Oryctolagus cuniculus: one gene and its partners. The protein of the gene in region 1 purifies or fractionates together with the protein of each later gene. This does not show direct contact. Links are inferred from orthologs where the notes say so. Each region holds a gene or a part of one and is shown in the gene's direction. Other genes may lie near its edges. The genes, in order: SLC7A1, HS2ST1, STX4 and STX12.

The links.
Region 2: the proteins of SLC7A1 (region 1) and HS2ST1 purify together in Homo sapiens (co-immunoprecipitation; 3 studies listed by BioGRID and IntAct, counting the BioPlex papers as one, with this or other methods). This does not show direct contact. The link is inferred for Oryctolagus cuniculus from reciprocal best matches to the Homo sapiens genes SLC7A1 and HS2ST1.
Region 3: the proteins of SLC7A1 (region 1) and STX4 purify together in Homo sapiens (co-immunoprecipitation; 3 studies listed by BioGRID and IntAct, counting the BioPlex papers as one, with this or other methods). This does not show direct contact. The link is inferred for Oryctolagus cuniculus from reciprocal best matches to the Homo sapiens genes SLC7A1 and STX4.
Region 4: the proteins of SLC7A1 (region 1) and STX12 purify together in Homo sapiens (co-immunoprecipitation; 3 studies listed by BioGRID and IntAct, counting the BioPlex papers as one, with this or other methods). This does not show direct contact. The link is inferred for Oryctolagus cuniculus from reciprocal best matches to the Homo sapiens genes SLC7A1 and STX12.

What each region holds. Positions count from the first base shown.
Region 1 is NC_091440.1:84,977,036-84,981,404, forward strand, and holds the start of SLC7A1 (high affinity cationic amino acid transporter 1), read left to right. Parts: upstream 1-1,388; 5' UTR 1,389-1,527; intron 1,528-2,033; exon of another isoform or gene 2,034-2,056; intron 2,057-4,369. UniProt on the Homo sapiens protein: High-affinity, low capacity permease involved in the transport of the cationic amino acids (arginine, lysine and ornithine) in non-hepatic tissues.
Region 2 is NC_091438.1:84,223,394-84,228,038, reverse strand, and holds the start of HS2ST1 (heparan sulfate 2-O-sulfotransferase 1), read left to right. Parts: upstream 1-1,811; 5' UTR 1,812-2,229; coding exon 2,230-2,353; intron 2,354-4,645. UniProt on the Homo sapiens protein: Catalyzes the transfer of a sulfo group from 3'-phospho-5'-adenylyl sulfate (PAPS) to the 2-OH position of iduronic acid (IdoA) or glucuronic acid (GlcA) within the heparan sulfate (HS) chain and participates in HS biosynthesis.
Region 3 is NC_091450.1:6,132,362-6,136,998, reverse strand, and holds the start of STX4 (syntaxin-4), read left to right. Parts: upstream 1-1,809; 5' UTR 1,810-2,672; coding exon 2,673-2,702; intron 2,703-2,873; coding exon 2,874-2,975; intron 2,976-3,084; coding exon 3,085-3,184; intron 3,185-3,322; coding exon 3,323-3,397; intron 3,398-3,899; coding exon 3,900-3,970; intron 3,971-4,637. UniProt on the Homo sapiens protein: Plasma membrane t-SNARE that mediates docking of transport vesicles. Necessary for the translocation of SLC2A4 from intracellular vesicles to the plasma membrane.
Region 4 is NC_091438.1:143,809,149-143,812,712, reverse strand, and holds the end of STX12 (syntaxin-12), read left to right. Parts: intron 1-867; coding exon 868-950; intron 951-2,466; coding exon 2,467-2,601; 3' UTR 2,602-2,820; downstream 2,821-3,564. UniProt on the Homo sapiens protein: SNARE promoting fusion of transport vesicles with target membranes. Together with SNARE STX6, promotes movement of vesicles from endosomes to the cell membrane, and may therefore function in the endocytic recycling pathway.

The sequences.
Region 1 (4,369 bases):
CCTACTTCATAAACTGCTAGGCTAGTTTCAAGGGCAGAAAACAGCCAGCTGCTGACCCAGGAGCCCCATTACTGAGCAAGGGCTTGGTGGTGCTGGTGGTGGCTGGGGCGGGTGGGAGGTGTGGAAAGGCTTTAAAGCAGGCAGATACCATCCGCCCTTGTCCTTTCTGTTTCCTTAGAAATATGGGGGAGCGCGGTGGTCATCTACCACTTACTCAATGTCACAGATTACTGGATCTTCACAGGTTGTGTTTCTTGGTTTCTGGAGCAAAGACAGACAACTGCACGGGAGCTCATGGCACCAACACTGTGGGATTCAGGACCACCGCTCTTGGCAACACTGGGAGAGTGACTGGGAAGGCAGCTGAGGCCATTAGCCCACCAGCCTGCTGTGCAGGTGCCTGGCAACAGGTGGATTAGGCCTTCACCGACAGCAGGGAGATAAGGTTCTAGCATGGGCAAGGGGACGATAATAAAATAATACCATGAGAGAGAAATGAAAATCTATAGTAACTTCAAAAAAATTTTTTAAAAATACTTATTTGAAAGAGAGACAGACAGACATACAGACATAGATAGATAAAGCTTCCATCCGCTGGTTCACTCCCCAAATGGCCACAACTGCTAGGACTGAGCCAGGCTGAAGCCAGGAACCAGGAGCTTCTTCTGGGTCTTGCACATGGGTGCAGGGGCTCAAGCGCTTGGGCCATCTGCTGCTTTCCCAGGCCATAGCAGAGAGCTGGATGGGAAGCCGGGACTCGAACCCGCGTCCATATGGGATGCCAGCACCACAGGCAGGGGCTTCACCCGCTACATCACAGCGCCGGCCCCAGTAACTAACTTTCTAAAACCCTCATAGTGCATCCCAGATCTTTTTATTTCGGATAAGGAAGACCAGCGGCGTCTGCTGACTGCAGCTCGCTAAGCCAGGGCTGGCGCGGCCCGGCCTGCTGCCCTGAGTCCCGGCCCGCGCGCGGCGGGGCCCGCAGGGAACCCAAGGATGCTGTCGCGCCGCGGGCTCCGATTGGCGGACAGGCGGCCAGGCCCGCAAGGCAGCCGCGGGAGCGTCCGGAGGCGCCGCCCGCCTGCCGGCCGGGGGAACCCCGGGTCCCCGCCGCAGCGCGCGCGAAGACGCCGCCGCCCCGCCCACACGGGCGCGCCCGCCTCTGCCGCCGCCTCAGGGCCAGCGGCCGCCGCCGCGCCGCGCTGCCATTGGTGCCCGGCTGTGACGCGAGGCACGGGCAGGGCCGCCGGGCGGGCTGGGGGGCGGGCGGCGAGAGCGGCTGATGAAACCGGCGCCGGATCCCGCCCGCCCTCGGCGCCCCATTCAGTCAGCGCGGGCAGGTGCGAGCGGCCAGTCAGCAGCCGGGCGGCGCGGCACGCGGCCGGCAGGCACGCGCTCACCGCAGCTCCACGTCGCTCCCGCGCCTCCGCACCGCCTCTCCGGCCGAGGGTCCCCGGGTCGGTGCGTGCAAGCGTGCGTGCGTCCTTCGGCCCGCTGTCCTGCCCGCATCCCACCGCCCGCTTGGTGAGTGCCCGCTCCCGCTGGCACCGGGGCAGCTCCACAACCTGGGTCACCTTGGCGGGGGTTGGAGGGGGCCGCGGGGCCGCGTGGGGCCTCGGGCAGGCGGCGGCACGGGAGTGGCGAGAGCCCCGCTCCGGGGCGCCGCTGGCATCCTCCGGGGAGGGCGAGGGCAGGGCGGGCCCGGGGGTGTGCGCGCGGGGCGGTGCCCATGCGGCCGTGGCTTCCACGGAGTCCATTTCGGTTCCCTAAAGGCACGGCGTGGTGTATGATGCAACACCGCCCGAGTCAGCGTGGGCGCGCCGGCGATGCCCACCCCGCGCGCCGGCCACGCACCTGGTGGTCCGGGTGGGCAAGGGGCCGGCGGTGGGCACGGGGGCTGGTCCAGGAGGCGTCCGGAGCCCGCTGGCAGCGCGGGAGAGCTTCCCTTACATGGCGCGTTGCGGAGCACCCCGCCCCGCCACGAGGTCCGAGGATGTGTCATCGGCCGCCGCGGGGACCCCGCCCGCGCCCCGGGAGGGTGGTCCCGCGGCAGGTACGTTGGCTAGCCTGGGAAACGGCGCTGGGCAGCCCTGCTCGGTGGTCGCGGTGCGCGCCTGCCCATTCCATGAGACCCCCAGAATGCCCGCCTGCACCCGTAGTCTGGGTCCCCAGGGGTTTCTTGGGGACGTCCTCCTTTGGGTGGGCTTCCTGGTGACCCGGCTTGGCCCTAAAACTCTGGGCTGGCCAAGCCGTCCAGATGGTTCGCAGGAGGAGGAAGTTCTTCCGGCTTCGTTAGGACAACCTATTCTCCGCGTGTTCCTCTCTGCGTAGTAGAAAACTTCCTGGGCACGGGCAGGTCAAGGCGGCCGTCCCGCGCGCGCCGCTGGCCGGCTCGCCGCGCTGTTCCCCGGGTAGGGGGGAGGCGTGGGAGCCAGATCGGAGTTGCGTGCGTCTTGAGCGGGTAGGCGAGCCAGACATGTGAACCAGACTACACTTCCCAACACCCACGGCCGTGCTGTCACGTGCTGGCTTGTGTTCCAGACCCGAGTCTCGGGCGTGGGGTAGGGGTGGGGGGTTGCGATCTTCGTCCCTGGTGGGTACCCCCGCCACCCCCTTCAGAATGTGCCCCTTAAAAGCTGGCTGGTGGGACTGTGTCTGACAGCCTGCAGCCGGGAGCCGTCACTATGTTGAATTCGGGTTATAATTTATTAGGGATTTATCTCAACGTTTATGTTTCAGTCAGATAATAGGAAACTGTGGTGCACGTATTCGCCCTGGTATTTTCAGTTGTTCTCAGTGGAAATTACCACGATTCTTATGCGAACCCGCCTTTCTGGCAGGAAAAAAAAAAGGTCTTGTCTTGAGCCCCAGTAAGAAGAGAAACTTACTGGAAAGATCCACAGTGAAGAAAATCGTTCTTAAAGCTTCCTTGTTGACTAACATTCAAAGGATGTCAAAGGAACTTTGAGTAAACGAACGGGAAAAGGCTCAGTAAGTAGGGAGAGGGGGTGGTCTCAGCTGCCTGAGTCGGAGCCACGTGGCTTCTGTTTAGGCATATGACCATTTGCTGGAGGGGGAAAAAAGGCTTGAAAGGCAAGATTGTTGACCTCAGGGAGTTTGAGTTGAGACACAGGTTTAATTCTGTTTGGTACAAAATTTCATTCTCTGAAGGAAGCAAGTAAATGCTTATTGATTGTTCAGGTCTGTAACTTCTCTTTCCTGAATCCAGCAGAACTAGGTCATTAAGTCGGGGGTCCCAGCGTTATGTCTTATATGAATGCTTTCTGTTGATTGACAGTGTATTTAGAGATGCTGCTTGTTAACCCTAAAAGGAGGAATTTGAGACATGACTCAATGCATTCTTGTTAGGGAAAGAAACTTGTTTCATCTTTGACTGACACGTCCGAATCGTACATTGTCGGGTCCTGGTGTGATGTTTGGGTGCGTATGTCATTGTGTGATGTTGCAGCCGGGGGAACTAGGCTATCTATCGCTTTAAACGTTTGTCGTGTTTTTGTGCTGAGAGTGTTCACAATCTTGGCGAAAAATTTACTTCCTTTAACCCGGGAGATGCCTTGGCCTCTGTGTCATCTTACCCAGAGGCATCTTCTGGGTGACTGTGAAAGGTGCGCCCACAGGACTGGCCTGGGGCTTTAGGTGAGTGGTAAGAGAGGTGAAATAGATTTCCACACTGCACAGCCGGAGTTTTTTTTTTTTTTTTTTTTAAGATTTTATTTATTTATTAGAGAGGTAGAGTTACAGAGAGAGGGAAAGACAGAGGGAGAGGTCTTCCATCTGCTGGTTCACTTCCCAGATGGCCCCAATGGCTGGAGTTGGCAGCGATCCGAAGCCAGGAGCCAGGGGCTTCTTCCGGGTCTCCCGTGTGGGTACAGAGGCCCAGGCACTTGGGCCATCCTCCACTGCCTTCCTGGGCCACAGCAGAGAGCTAGACACGAACTGGCATCCATATGGGATGCTGGCACTGCAGGTGAAGGCTTAGCCTGCTATGCCACAGCCATAGCACAGGCCCTGTTAATGGATTAAGGATAGAGACTGGCGGAGGCTTAGCCTACTATGCCACAGTGCTGGCCCTGGAGTCACAACCTTAAGGAGATGAGAAGGTTGAGCATGTTAGGTTTAAGATGGACTATTGTTGTTTCTTAAGATTTTATTTATTTGAAAGGCAGAGTGACAGAGATCCTCTATTTGCTGGTTCACTCCCTAAATAGCCTCAACGGTTGGGGTAAGGCCAGACTGAAGCCAGGAGCCAGGAGCTCCTTCTGGGCTTCCCAGGTGAGTGGCAGGGACTTAGCTACTGAGGCCATCATCTGCTGCCTCCCGGGCGCATCAGCAGGGAGCTGGGTGG
Region 2 (4,645 bases), on another chromosome or scaffold:
TGAGATCCAAGTCTCCCCAGCTGACAGCTCGAACTATGAATGGGGTATCTTTGGACTTTCCAGGGCACAGTGCATAAGGGAGCCCAGATGAAATCAACAGAGGACTTGACAGAATGACCACTGACTTAAGTCACTAAGTTTTGGGAGGTTACATAGCCACAAACAAGTGAAAGTTATGAGATAGTAAAATTAGGAGAGGGCAACCTGAAATGTTACTCCTTTTGTCTCCCATGGTGGTAGTGATGAACTCAAATGACCTAACAGGAGTTCAGGCAGGGGTGTTCCAGTAATTTCTAAAGCATCAAAAAGTCTAAAAAATGGAGTACTGGACTGGAATGTTAATTACAGAAGTTGGGGCCGGGTAACAAAAGTAAAAAGGCAGGATAGTTTCACATTCCTTGATGAAAGAAAAGCAGAGATGTTTATAGAGGCCTATGTACAGTCCTTAACTCCACCCACATCTGGGATACATCAGTTAAACCAGATCTCCCAGGAGAAAACTTTTCAGCAGGCTTAATGGAGAACACTTGACGAATTAAGACGAGCTAACAAACGTAAAAGCTCTCGCCAGTAAAATTTTATCCTTCATATAGCAACATACATTGCAAACTATGAGGAGTTAACCAAGATTTACTTGTTTCGTGCATGAAAATAAATCAAAATCAGGACTTCTCCTTTCCAAGATTAAGAACTCATCTATTTTGGTAATAGGAAAAAACGAAATAAAACTGCCAGATTTTAAACGGGATTACTGCTCGAGAGAGTTTAAAAAAAAAAAAAAACAACAGAAATCGTTAGCCAGGAGCGAACACTTGAGGGCTTTCCTCTCAGGGGAGCTCCATCATAAGGATACTCCCTAGCGTTTTTGTTGCTTGAAAAGTCTTCACTTCTTCCTAAGCCTTACTGCTTCCCCTCCCCGCAGTGTGATTCAGATTGTTTCAGCTAGAGTTAAGAGAAGCCCCCAAGACGGTCTGAAGTCAGAAGACGCCGCTAGCAAAATCAAAGCGAGGAAGGACAAGCAAGCATCAACCAAGGAATTAAGCCACGTCGCATTCCGGCAGCAGCAGTCACTGAGGAAACCCCATCTTCCGTCCTTTTCCAGCGTGGATCCCAAACAGGCTCGAATGTTCCTCCTCCTTCTCTGCAATCCTTCCTACCCGCCCCGGAGCAGCCACGGAGGAGATCCACACTCACCGCTTGAAGCACGGTGGCCAACAGCAACCGTAGCCCAAACGCCGGGCCCAGCCCTCCACCAGCCCCAGTCGCCATCGTTACCCTCTCGGCTCTGTCTCGGGCTGCCCAGAGGACCCCTCAGCTGGGGCGTCCACACTACAGCCTGATCCGTGACAGCCCGCTAAAGGCCGTTGCCACCGAAACTCTTGTTCTGAAGGGACGCGTGTTAACTCGGGGTATATGAAAACTTAAAGGTGATCAAATATCAAGACAGTCGCCGGGTGCTTTGGATTACCCAAATCAGGCACTTTTCTAAACTCCCCACTTCTGTGCTTCCCCGGGATCCTTTCATTCACGACATTTCGTCAGGCAGCCAGGAGGCCCCGCCTTCTCCAGTTTAAGCCCTGCCTCCGTCCCCAAGTTTACCCAATCGAATGCGGCCTTGATTGAGCCCTGTGGCGGAGGAAGCCAACCGTAAATCGAACCGAGGGCCAAGAGCAGGGACTCTTCGGACCAATAAGCACAACCGCGCAGGAGGACGGGGTGGGGCCTCTGGTTGCCGAGCAGCGTACGTGGATGCGTGCGCGTGGTGGCGGAGGGGGGATGGGCGGGGACTTGGCGGGGGCGGGGCCGAGGGCGGCGCAGCCGCAGCCGCAGCGCTGGTGTAGGAGCGCGCGGCCGCGAGCGAAGGAGGGAGGGAGGGAAGGAAGGAAGAGAGGGAGGCGGGCAGGCAGGCGGGCGCGGAGGTCGGGGATTGAGGCTGTGGAGGGAGGCGAGAGCCCGGCAGCCGCTTCGCGCAGGGTTTGCTGCGCGGGCTTTTGGAGGGGGCGGCCGTTGAGTCGGCTGACGAGAAGCGGGCACCGGCGGCGCTAGTGCTGGCGCCTGGGGGCGGGGGGACCGGAGAGGCGAGAAGGGGGGTCGCTGCGGTGGTGCTCTGGCTGTCGCGCTCTCCTTGCCTGGCTGCCGGCTCGGTGGGCTCCTCCCGGCGTTTCCCTCGCCTCTGGGGCCCCGCTCCCCGCCCTCCGCGGTATGTCTTGATCCCGAGCAGCGGGTTTCATGGGGCTCCTCAGGATTATGATGCCGCCCAAGTTGCAGCTGCTGGCGGTGGTGGCCTTCGCGGTGGCGATGCTCTTCTTGGAGAACCAGATCCAGAAGCTGGAGGAGTCCCTGTCGAAGCTAGGTGAGGAGCAGAGCCGCTCCGCGCTGAGTGCTGTGGACGGGGCTGGGCCGGGGGGCACTGCAGCCCGAGCAAGTGGGCGTTCGTGCAGCCCGGGGTCTGGTTCGCGGGCTGGGAGAGGTTTCCAAGAGAACACAAGCTCCTAGAATGGGGTGACTTGAGCTTGAGTGGCGTGCTGGACTCGCGAGGTCACGGGGCAGAGGTTGCAGGGCTGGGCTTCGCGGAGCCCCAGGGCTGCCCCCGAGTAGGCATTCCGGAGAGAGGGCGAGAGAAGCCCCAACTCAGAGGGAAGAGGTGGCCACGCTCAGCCTTGCTCGGGCAGAGCGCCTCGGCAGTGTCGGAGAGGGGTATTCCAGTTTCGTGTATGGGAACTCGGGCACAGCTTCTTTTGGAGGATGGGGGAGGACCGGTGGTCGTGCAGGAATATTGGTGCGCAGCAATGGAAGGAGGCGCCGGTAATGATGGGGAGGGGGCAGTCAGGGAAACAAGCTGCCGTGAGTTGCACTCCGGTCCCGGGGGAGCGAGGGACCGCCCCACAGGCGGTCGAGGTAGGCTGGCCAGGTAGGGCAGGCTAGCGAGGGAAGAGCTTCAGGGCAGTTCTGAACGAGGGTCCGGGGACTGCGATCTGTTTTAGTGGCGCCGAACTGGTTCATGTGGGCTCCAGAACAGGGATGTGCACGTATGTTGCTTCGCGGCAGCGTTGATGTGAATTTAGAAGAGGGAATGCCGAAGGGGAACTGTGTAGTGAGGTTTACTATTGGAAAGTAAGGTTACACGGTAAACATTTAAGTACCTTGAAGAGTTAACAGTGCTTTAATGGGCGAAGGAGTCTGAAGTGCAAAAAGTTGACGTGTGAAGTTGTGAAAGGACAGAAAAAAGCATAGATAATAGATTCTTTCGATTTAGTATGGAACTGGCATTTGGAAGGGCTCGGTGTGGAGAGCGAATAGTCAGAGAATGACAGTGACCAATTTTGAGTTAAAAATGCACATGGCACTTAAATCAGCTCAAGAGGCTGTCATTTGAATCTGGAAAGACAGTGCAAGGTAAGGGATTGCATGCACTTGCACCTCGGCACCCTTCTAGATACGTTTTGAGAAACAAGCAAACAAATCCCTTCAGCGATATTATTTAGACTAAAGAGTAACTTTGGGAAACAACTAAGTGCTGCTGTGCTGTTTAATTTTTAGGGAATAATTGCAGTTTTGTACGCAGTAGCTATAGCTAGCTGTTTCCAGAGACTTTGCAATTGTCTTGAAATTTTGAAGAGCAGTGTATCAAAGAGTATCTAATAAATATGATTGAAGTGCAGCTATGTTTGAGGGAAGATCAAAAGAGATACTAATCCTTACTAATGCTGGGGCAAAAATTTGAAAAGATATACAGTTTATTTACTCTAATTTTGTTACTGTGCCTTGTAAGATGGGAAAATGTTCACTTAAATAGTAAAGGTTGTCCAGTATACTTTTTCTTTTCATTTGAATCCATTCATCAGCATTCAGAATCATGTTCTGGTCACATTAATGATCCAGCTTTACAGAAAAAAATGATTCCTCATAGAGGAAGTTGGAAGTTGTATTAAAATTTGTACCTGTTGTTTATTGTATTGCTATTTGGAATTCTCTGGGGTTAATTTCTCCAGAACATCATGGTGGGGTTAGCATTGTTTACATTTTTTATTTTAATCATCTAAGTTTTTTTCTGTAACACTTGAAGGGGTTTCCATAGATACAACCTGAGCTTTTTTTTTTTTTTACAGTTATTTTAAGCTGTAGAAAGCCACAGGTAGAACATACTATGCTTTCTTGTAAATTTTTTGCAAACAAGGAAATTCCATCAGAAATAGAGTGCATTAGAATAAATAATTCCATTAGAAATAATAAATATATGTTAAAATGAATCTCAAAACTAATTCAAGGAAATTAATACCTCAAGTATGAAACTGGAAGTATTTTCATCTGGAAATGCAAAAGCATGGCAAGTAAAAATGTATAACTTTGTTTCTATTAGCAGTCATTTGATTTTCTTTTTAAAGTCTTGGAAAAGGCAAGGAATGATAAGAGAGAGATTGCCAGTTGGTAGTCTGACCTCTTAGGAAAGAAACGCAGGTGGCTTATTTTGACAATCAGACTCTATCCTAGGTGTTTTTCATCTATGATGCACCTATTTATCTTTCTAGAACACTATAGAAAGCTATTTTTGCAGTTGCAGGAACAGGCTCAGTGGTTATAGAACTTGTCTAAGACCACATCACTATTGGCAGAGCCAGCATTGGAATCCAGGTATGTTTGATTC
Region 3 (4,637 bases), on another chromosome or scaffold:
CCCTCCCAAGGGGCGTCCAGCCTTCTGTGACCTGAAGTCACCATCTCAAAGCCTTGTGATCCCGAGCAGAGACCACAAGTGAAATCATGGGCATCATCTTTCTGAGAAGTCTGATCAACAGAGACGTCAGTGACTCCAGATTAGGGCAGGCTTCTAGAGGCAGAGAGAGAGAGAGAGAGGGAGAGAGAGAGATGGGGAAGGGGACCTGGAGAGAGATAGACCCACATTTGAAAGAGCCCAAGAAGGGGCCGGGGATCCCTCGACCTTTCCACACCTTTCCTTTCTTTCTTTTTTTTTTAAGATTTATTTATTTTACTTGAAAGTCAGAGTTACACAGACAGAGCAGGAGAGGCAGAGAGAGAGAGGTCTTCCATCCGCTGGTTCACTCCCCAATTGGCTGCAACGGCTAGAGCTGCACCAATCCAAAGCCAGGAGCCAGGAGCTTCTTCTGGGTCTCCCACGCGGGTGCAGGGGCCCAAGGCCTTGGGCCATCTTCTATTGCTTTCCCAGGCCATAGCAGAGAGCTGGATAGAAAGTGGAGCAGCCAGGTCTTGAACTGGCACCCATATGGTACGGCAGCACTGCAGGCAGCTGCTTTACCCACACCCTTTCTAACCTCACCTGATAACGTGCAATGCTTATCTTACTCAAAGCAGAAATGAGCAGATCAAGTTATCAAATGGGGAAGCTGAGTCCCAGACGGGAGCAACGAACCATTCATTCAAGCCCATGTGCTGGTTTGGGAGCCAAAAGATGTCTGAAAGCTCTAGGACTGTACCACTCAGAGACAGGGTCTGGGGGGAGGCGGGGACAAGGGGGCATCAACTGCAGGATGCAAGAGCAGAGCGATGCTTCCCCCCACGGTCTCCAGTGGACCCCACTGGCAGGGTGTTCGCCCCCTCACCCCGGGAAAAGCCCCCCACCACTGCGTTTCTTCTGTGGGCTGCTCAGGGCAGCACCGCTCTCTCACACCCTCATTCCCAGCCCCAGGCCAGCAGGGGTCTCAAGGGGAGCGGAGCATCCACAGCCCCTCACACAGACTAAGACACCACTGAGCAGTTTTCCACCTCACTGTCGCTGAACTTGAGAGCACGGACTACCCATAGAGATCATCTCCCCATCCCCCTAGTGCCACCCAATGTACAGATGGAAGATCAAGGCCGGGAACCAAGAAGTGGCCTTGCAGTGGTGTGTCCGTAGCAACTCAGTTCCAGGAAGCAAGACTCCACTTGAACCTTCCGGGGGTCCGGTTACTCACTCCTGGCCGGGCTGAGACTCTCTGAACGACTTTGGGGAGTGCAAATGCCACTAGTACTAGTTAGACCTGCTCTATCTGCAGTCTGTAGGAATCCACCTGGCTCATGGAACGCACCCAGTAAACTATGTATAAATGAAGGAACGTTTGGCGGCTAGGGAAGTGGCAAGGGGAGCCAGCCTGCAGCTTAAGGACCAGGGGACAGGGGCTTTCTCTTCAGATCCACGAAAGCCTAAAACTCTACCATGTTCATGCAGGGCTCATTTTGCGGTAGGCACTGAACTAGGCGCTGGGGGGATCAATGAAAAACAAGGCGGTCTTGCCCTGCCTTAGGTGGGTAGGGGCTGGGGTATTTAAGGGCCGGAGAAGCAGGCGGCTGCACACACTACACTTTCCCCAGCCTGCGCCGCGCTGAGATGGTCTCAGTGCCCGGAAGGCGGTGAGCACAGCGGGGCTGCAGCGCCGGCCGCCCACCGGTCACAGGCTGCGTGCAGGAGAGATTTCTGCTCTGAGGTCACAACCCCACCCCCAGATTCCCTGCCGACAAAACCCTGCAATTCTCTGACGCTGAAGACTCGGCTCGGATTCTTTTTCTGATTTTTCAAGGTCCCACGATGCCGACAGCCCCGAATCCTAAGCCGTCAGTCTGCCCACGCCCCCTGGAGCCAAAAGCAAGAAAGGAGGAATCTGCAAGGGTCCCCGCCACCCCTCTGACTCAAAAGCTCTCTGGGGGTAGTCAGCGCCCCCGCTCCTCCTCGTGGGGTCTGTGGGGGCGTAACTCAGATGCCGGGGACGTCGTGAGGAGAAGGGTGTCCCAGAGTCGGCGTTGACAGAGCCGGGACACGTGACAGCCAAAGCCTCCCGTTCTGCGGTCTCCGCGGCCGGGCAGGTCACGTGACGTGGAGCAGGGCGGGGGGGAGCTCATGGGGTGATGTGAGATGCGGGTCTCTGCGATTACGTACTCGTGACGCATTGCCACCCGCTTTTGGCTGCCAGATTTCCGTTCAAAGAGGCGACGGTTCCGGACTAGGGGGCGGGTTCTCACGTCCAGGCACTTTCGCTTCCGTTCGGGGCAGAGCCGCTTCCGAGCCCCGCCTTTCCCTCGGGCGAGGAAGAGACGCCACCTCGTGCGCATGCCCGGAATTGTCTCAGAGGGGCGGGGCTGAGGCTCAGGGAGCAGGAGGGGGGCAAGAGAAGGGAATTCCAACCTGTGGAACTTTGGGGGTCCCGGAGGTCGGCTGCTTGCCCTTGACTGTGGCTTGTGCATGGGGCTGAGCCTCCGGCGGCTCGTGGGGGCGTTGGGGCCCGCGGGGCGAGGCAGGGGAGTGTCGCAGTGTAAGTGGGGTACGGGAATTCCAAACTTAGAACCTTGAGGCCCTCGGGGCTCCGGCGCCGGGAGGAGGGAGCTCGGGCCGCCATGCGAGACAGGACCCACGAGCTGAGGCAGGTGAGATGTCGGGACAGCAGGGTCGGGGATGGACGGGCGGGCTGGAATGCAGGACTCCCAGGGTAGGGAGGGGTGGTTGGGGGCCAGGAAGGAAAGTCCCGGAAGCCTGTGGATCGTTCGGGAGCGAGAGCCGCCGCGAGGAAGTGGTGCCAGTGACTGTGGCCCTGGCAGGGGGATGACAGCTCGGACGAGGAGGACAAGGAGCGGGTCGCGCTGGTGGTGCACCCGGGCACGGCCCGGCTGGGAAGCCCGGACGATGAGTTCTTCCAGAAGGTAAGGGGGCTGGGGTCTGCAGCCTGGACGTGCGAGGGGGCGGGCGGACTGAGGGCCAGCGCGGGCTGGAGTGCCCCAAATTTCAGCCCCTCTCGGTCGCCCTCCCCAGGTCCGGACAATTCGGCAGACTATCGTCAAGCTGGAGAATAAAGTCCGGGAGCTGGAGAAGCAGCAGGTCACCATCCTGGCCACGCCCCTTCCCGAGGAGAGTGAGTGAAACCCCGGGTCGCAGGACGCATGCGCTACCCGAGGGATTGTGGGGGTTGTAGTTCCACGCAGGTGGTGGCCCCGGGGTGGTTTGCTGAGGCAGGGGCTCCCCCAGGAAGTTGTGGTCTTTTCTTGTTCAGGCATGAAACAGGACCTGCAGAACCTGCGCGACGAGATCAAACAGTTGGGAAGGGAGATCCGCACGCAGCTCAAGGGTGAGCTCCTAGGAAGGCGGGCAGATTCTTCCTCTGATCCTACTGATCTGATCCTGGGATAAGTGGAGAGTGTGTGGCCCAGAGAGGCAAGTGATATATGTAGGTCACACAGCAGGCCTGTGTTTAAAAAAATATATATCTGTCTGTTGGCTTCCACGCCGTGTTCCACAGCCCGTGCCTTTATTTACGATGAAACTGTTGAGTCCTGTAGTTCTTGGTGCCTGTCCAGCGTGCGTTCTTTGCAAAGGCAGATGGGGTTCTGCATACCTGTGGGAGCTCACTGATAGAATTCAAAGAGAAATAAACTTTCTCCTGTCAGAGGCTTAGCATGGGTCATTTTACAATGAAGCTGCGTTTCCCTTACAAATCACGTGGAGACAGGTCCCTCCTCATTGTGTGGCTGGGGGAGGGACCCTGTTCTTGTGCCCTGGTCCCCGGTTTCCAGAAATCACGAGTCAACACGCCCCTACCTCCTCCCTTCCTGCCTTGTGTCTTCCCGCAGCCATCGAGCCCCAGAAGGAAGAAGCTGATGAGAATTATAACTCGGTCAACACAAGGATGAGAAAGACTCAGGTGGGTTTGCTTCTCCTAGAACCAGGGCATTTTCCTAAGTGTTTGATCAATCGCGAGACGACAGATGTCTGTTGAAGGCAAGGCCCTTGGAGACCACAGGCCCCAACCCTTCTTCAAAGGGGCAAACAGGCGTGGAAGAAGATTCTCACTCAAGGTCAAGAACGCAGGTGTCCTAATTCCCAGTCCCTTGCACCCCCTGCTTTCTTCTCCTCTCCATGAGGAGCTGCTGTCCCCCAGGGTGTGACCCAGCCTTGGCTGTTTCCTCGGGAACCAAGATGGGAGCTTGAGTTGAGTAGGGGACAAAAGACATTACTCATGCAGGCGTTGGTGGCTAATGGCTCTTCAGGGAAGGAGTTGGAGAAGTCACAAGTGCCTGGTCAGTTTCCTGCCTATGTGACTGGGCCATCCTCGGCCTGCAGGCAGAATTGGAGAAGTCAGGAATAGGAAGTGCCCTGGGCGGGGACATCTTAGTAAGGAGTTTTCAGGTCATCTGACTGCTGTCCCTGGCGCCCAGCGAGGAGTGGTTTGGGGGTTCTCGGAGGTCAGGGTTGTTGTAGGTTGGGCCCAGAGCTCAAAAAGACCCCAGATGGAAAATGAAGATGGTTGAGGGGCAGCTGTTGGCCAGGAGAGCAGGTGTGTCTCTCAGGGAGGGTCTTGGAGGAATGAG
Region 4 (3,564 bases), on another chromosome or scaffold:
TGGTAAATCTCTATTTAATAGCTACTAGCTTCCCAACTTTTATCTCCAGAAACTTGCACAATTACTCTTTTTTAAGCTTTTTATATGGAAATAATTTCAAGTTCATAAAAAGCTGTAAAAATAAAAATACTGCAAGGAACTCCTTTTAACCTTTACTTAGGTTTACTTTTTGTTAACATTCTATGTCATTTGCTTTTTTTTTTTTTTTTGACAGGCAGAGTGGACAGTGAGAGAGAGAGACAGAGAGAAAGGTCTTCCTTTTGCCGTTGGTTCACCCTCCAATGGCCGCCGCGGGTGGTGCGCTGCGGCCAGCGCACCGTGCTGATCCGAAGGCAGGAGCCAGGTGCTTCTCCTGGTCTCCCATGGGGTGCAGGGCCCAAGCACTTGGGCCATCCTCCACTGCACTCCCTGGCCACAGCAGAGAGCTGGCCTGGAAGAGGGGCAACCGGGACAGAATCCGGTGCCCTGACCGGAACTAGAACCCGGTGTGCCAGCGCCGCAAGGCGGAGGATCAGCCTAGTGAGCCGCGGCGCCGGCCGTCATTTGCTTTTTGATGTACTCTGTGTGTGTGTGTGTGTTTGCGTGCACACGGGCATATGCACGTACAAGTGAGAGCAAGACAGAGACAGAGAGAATGTATTCATATATACATAATTTTTCCTGAAGCATTTATGGATGAGTCCCTTGTCCCTAAATACTTCAGTGTTTATTTCTAAGAATAGGGCTATATTCTTATCCAGGTAGTAACTTCTGATTTCTTAACTGGGATAGTAATGAAACAGGAACCCATAACATCAGAAGTAGGTTCAGTTTTTAGCCTTGACACATCTGGGTGTGCTAAAATATGCATCATCCTTCTCTTTGCAGACAGCATAGAAGCCAATGTGGAAAGTTCAGAGGTGCACGTTGAAAGAGCAACTGATCAGTTACAGCGAGCTGCTTACTATCAGGTAAAAGCAAGAACCAAAGAAAGTCACTGTACTGCAGACTTCATGGGCCACCACAGTGCACTGACTCTGAGCACAGCCCAGCTTTTTGCTTAGGCTGAAGCTGGAGACAAGCAGTCATACTTGCAGGTCCAGTCCCAAGTATTTCCTTTGCAGGGAGATCTACAAAATGTCATCAGACCATGAATAAACATATACAGAAACCTCAGAGCTGCAAAACTAATAACCCCATAAGCTAGCATGAAACCTAGAATATAAATGGTGTAAGGCTAATCTTACATCCTAATCAGCTGAGATGTGCTTCCATTAGGATAGGAAGAAGTACAGTTAAAGCAGGGTTTCACAGGATTTATGTTGACTGTTGGCACAGAAGATGGACACAGACCACTTCAACTGTTATTTATATCTGAATAAGTAGAGCTTAGTCATACTGGAACTGTTCCTGCAAAGTAAAGTTCTACTTACTAGTTGAAACTGGTTTTATGATTTATCTGGGTCTCTATCTCAGTGTGAAAATACCGTGAACGTGAGGTCCTTCTCCTTTCCTCTCAGTTTGGTTTTCATGGCTTTTTGGAAGTCGTGTTTTAGTCATTTTCCATGTTCTTAGACTACCTGTTCTTAAAGAAATTGTGTTCAATAATAATTTTACCTTTATAAACTACATGATGTCTTTAGTGTCTAATGGTAAGGAATAATTTTATATACATCCACTTGGTATTATATGATGTGAGGATTTAGTTATATTTATGAAAAAATTGTATTAACAAAGATGCTTATATAAAACATTAAGTGAGAAAAAATCAAACATCATACAGTATGTATGCAAATGACAGTATGCATAGATAAAAGATCAGGAGTTACAATCAAAACATCAACAGTTTGATCTATGGGTGATTATTTTTCTGCTTGCCTTTTTTTTCCCAATGCATATTAAATTTTATAATAGGTATAAACTTACTAAAATACATATGACAAATATTATTATTTTTTCAAGATTTATCTGTTTGAAAGGCAGAGTTACAGAGTGTCAGGGAGAGACACAGAGAGAGAACTCTTCATCCATTTGTTCACTCTCCAAATGGCTGAAACTGAAGCCAAAAGCCAGAAGCCTCTTACAAGTCTCCCAATGTGGGTGCAGGGGTCCAAGTACTTGGGCCATCTTCTGCTGCCTTCCCAGGCAAATTAGCAGGGGGCTGGATTGGAAGTGGATCAGTGGGGACTCAAACCAGCACCCATATGGGATGCCAGTGTCAGCAGGTGGCAGCTTTACCTGCTATGCCACAACATTGTCCCCTCCCCCTTTAAAGATTTATTTATTTGAAATGTAGAGTTACAGAGAGGCAGAGGCAGAAAGAGAGAGAGAATGAATGAATGAGTCTTCTGTCCGCTGGTTCACTCCCTAAATGGCCATAATGGCCGGAGCTGGGCTGATCTGAAGCCAGGAGCCATGAGTTTCTTCCAGGTCTCCCACGTGGGTGCAGGGGCCTAAACATTTGGGCCATTTCTGCTGGTTTTCCAGGTGCATTTGCAGGGAGCTGGATTGGAAGTGGAGCAGCCGGGACTTGAACCAGCGCCCATATGGGATGCTGGCACTGCAGGCAGCACCTTTATCCGCTACGCCACAGCTCCAGCCCCAATAGCATTATTTTTATAAATAATTTCTATCATAATAGGTATGTCTCCTTTGCAAAACTGTATTTAAGGACCTAGAATTAAAACTTACACTGCTGCCTAGTGCTAGTGCTGATGACTGTTGAGATTTTGTGAATGTTCTCTGCCTATTTGTGCATGCATAGAGTTAATTTTGTATTACAAGGAGGCAGATTTATGAAGCACTCTTGGAGTCTTAGATATTAAAACTTTTGTTTCATGAGTGTCTTCTTCACATATTTCTTTCCCCAGAAAAAATCTCGCAAGAAGATGTGCATCCTGGTGCTTGTCCTGTCTGTGATTATTGCAGTCTTGATAATTGTTTTCTGGGTAGTGTATGGGAAATGAAGTGTGGTTGCCTCAAAGCCTTCTCCTGCTGAACTGTTTTCAAGGGCAAGTGCTGGTTGGAGTCTTGCCAGAACAAACTGATCACAAGAGGAGTGCACATACCAGAACGTCCTGTAACAATTTAGTTAGAAACTAACTACTAACTAGTCCTTGGAATTAGTGACCCATGGAGACAGTATTTATCAATATATGTATACATTTTATTGGTTTCTCCAATTAGGAATTAATTTATGTGGATTTTGCTTTCTCTTGTATTCTGATTGCCCTGTATCCCAAAAGTTTATTGAAAATTCCATTCTAGGTATTCTTTTTTGACAGGCAACACTACAGACTCGTAATATTGTCTTTTTATGTGTATACAAAATTTACCTTTTTCCTAGCAACTAACATGAATTGCTTTCTGGCGCCCAGCATAATTGGAGTATGTCAGAAACTGTATAATAGGCCAGGAATTTTTATTATTTAATATTTTAATTTGAATTTCTAAGAAGCTTATTCTCTGTTTTGCAAAATTTTGGCACTATATTTAACTGGAAAGTAAAAATTGCACATGTGATTTAAGATTTAATGAAAAGTATCTATTCGAGCTGATCAGTTGTTCGGGTACATGTTCCTAATC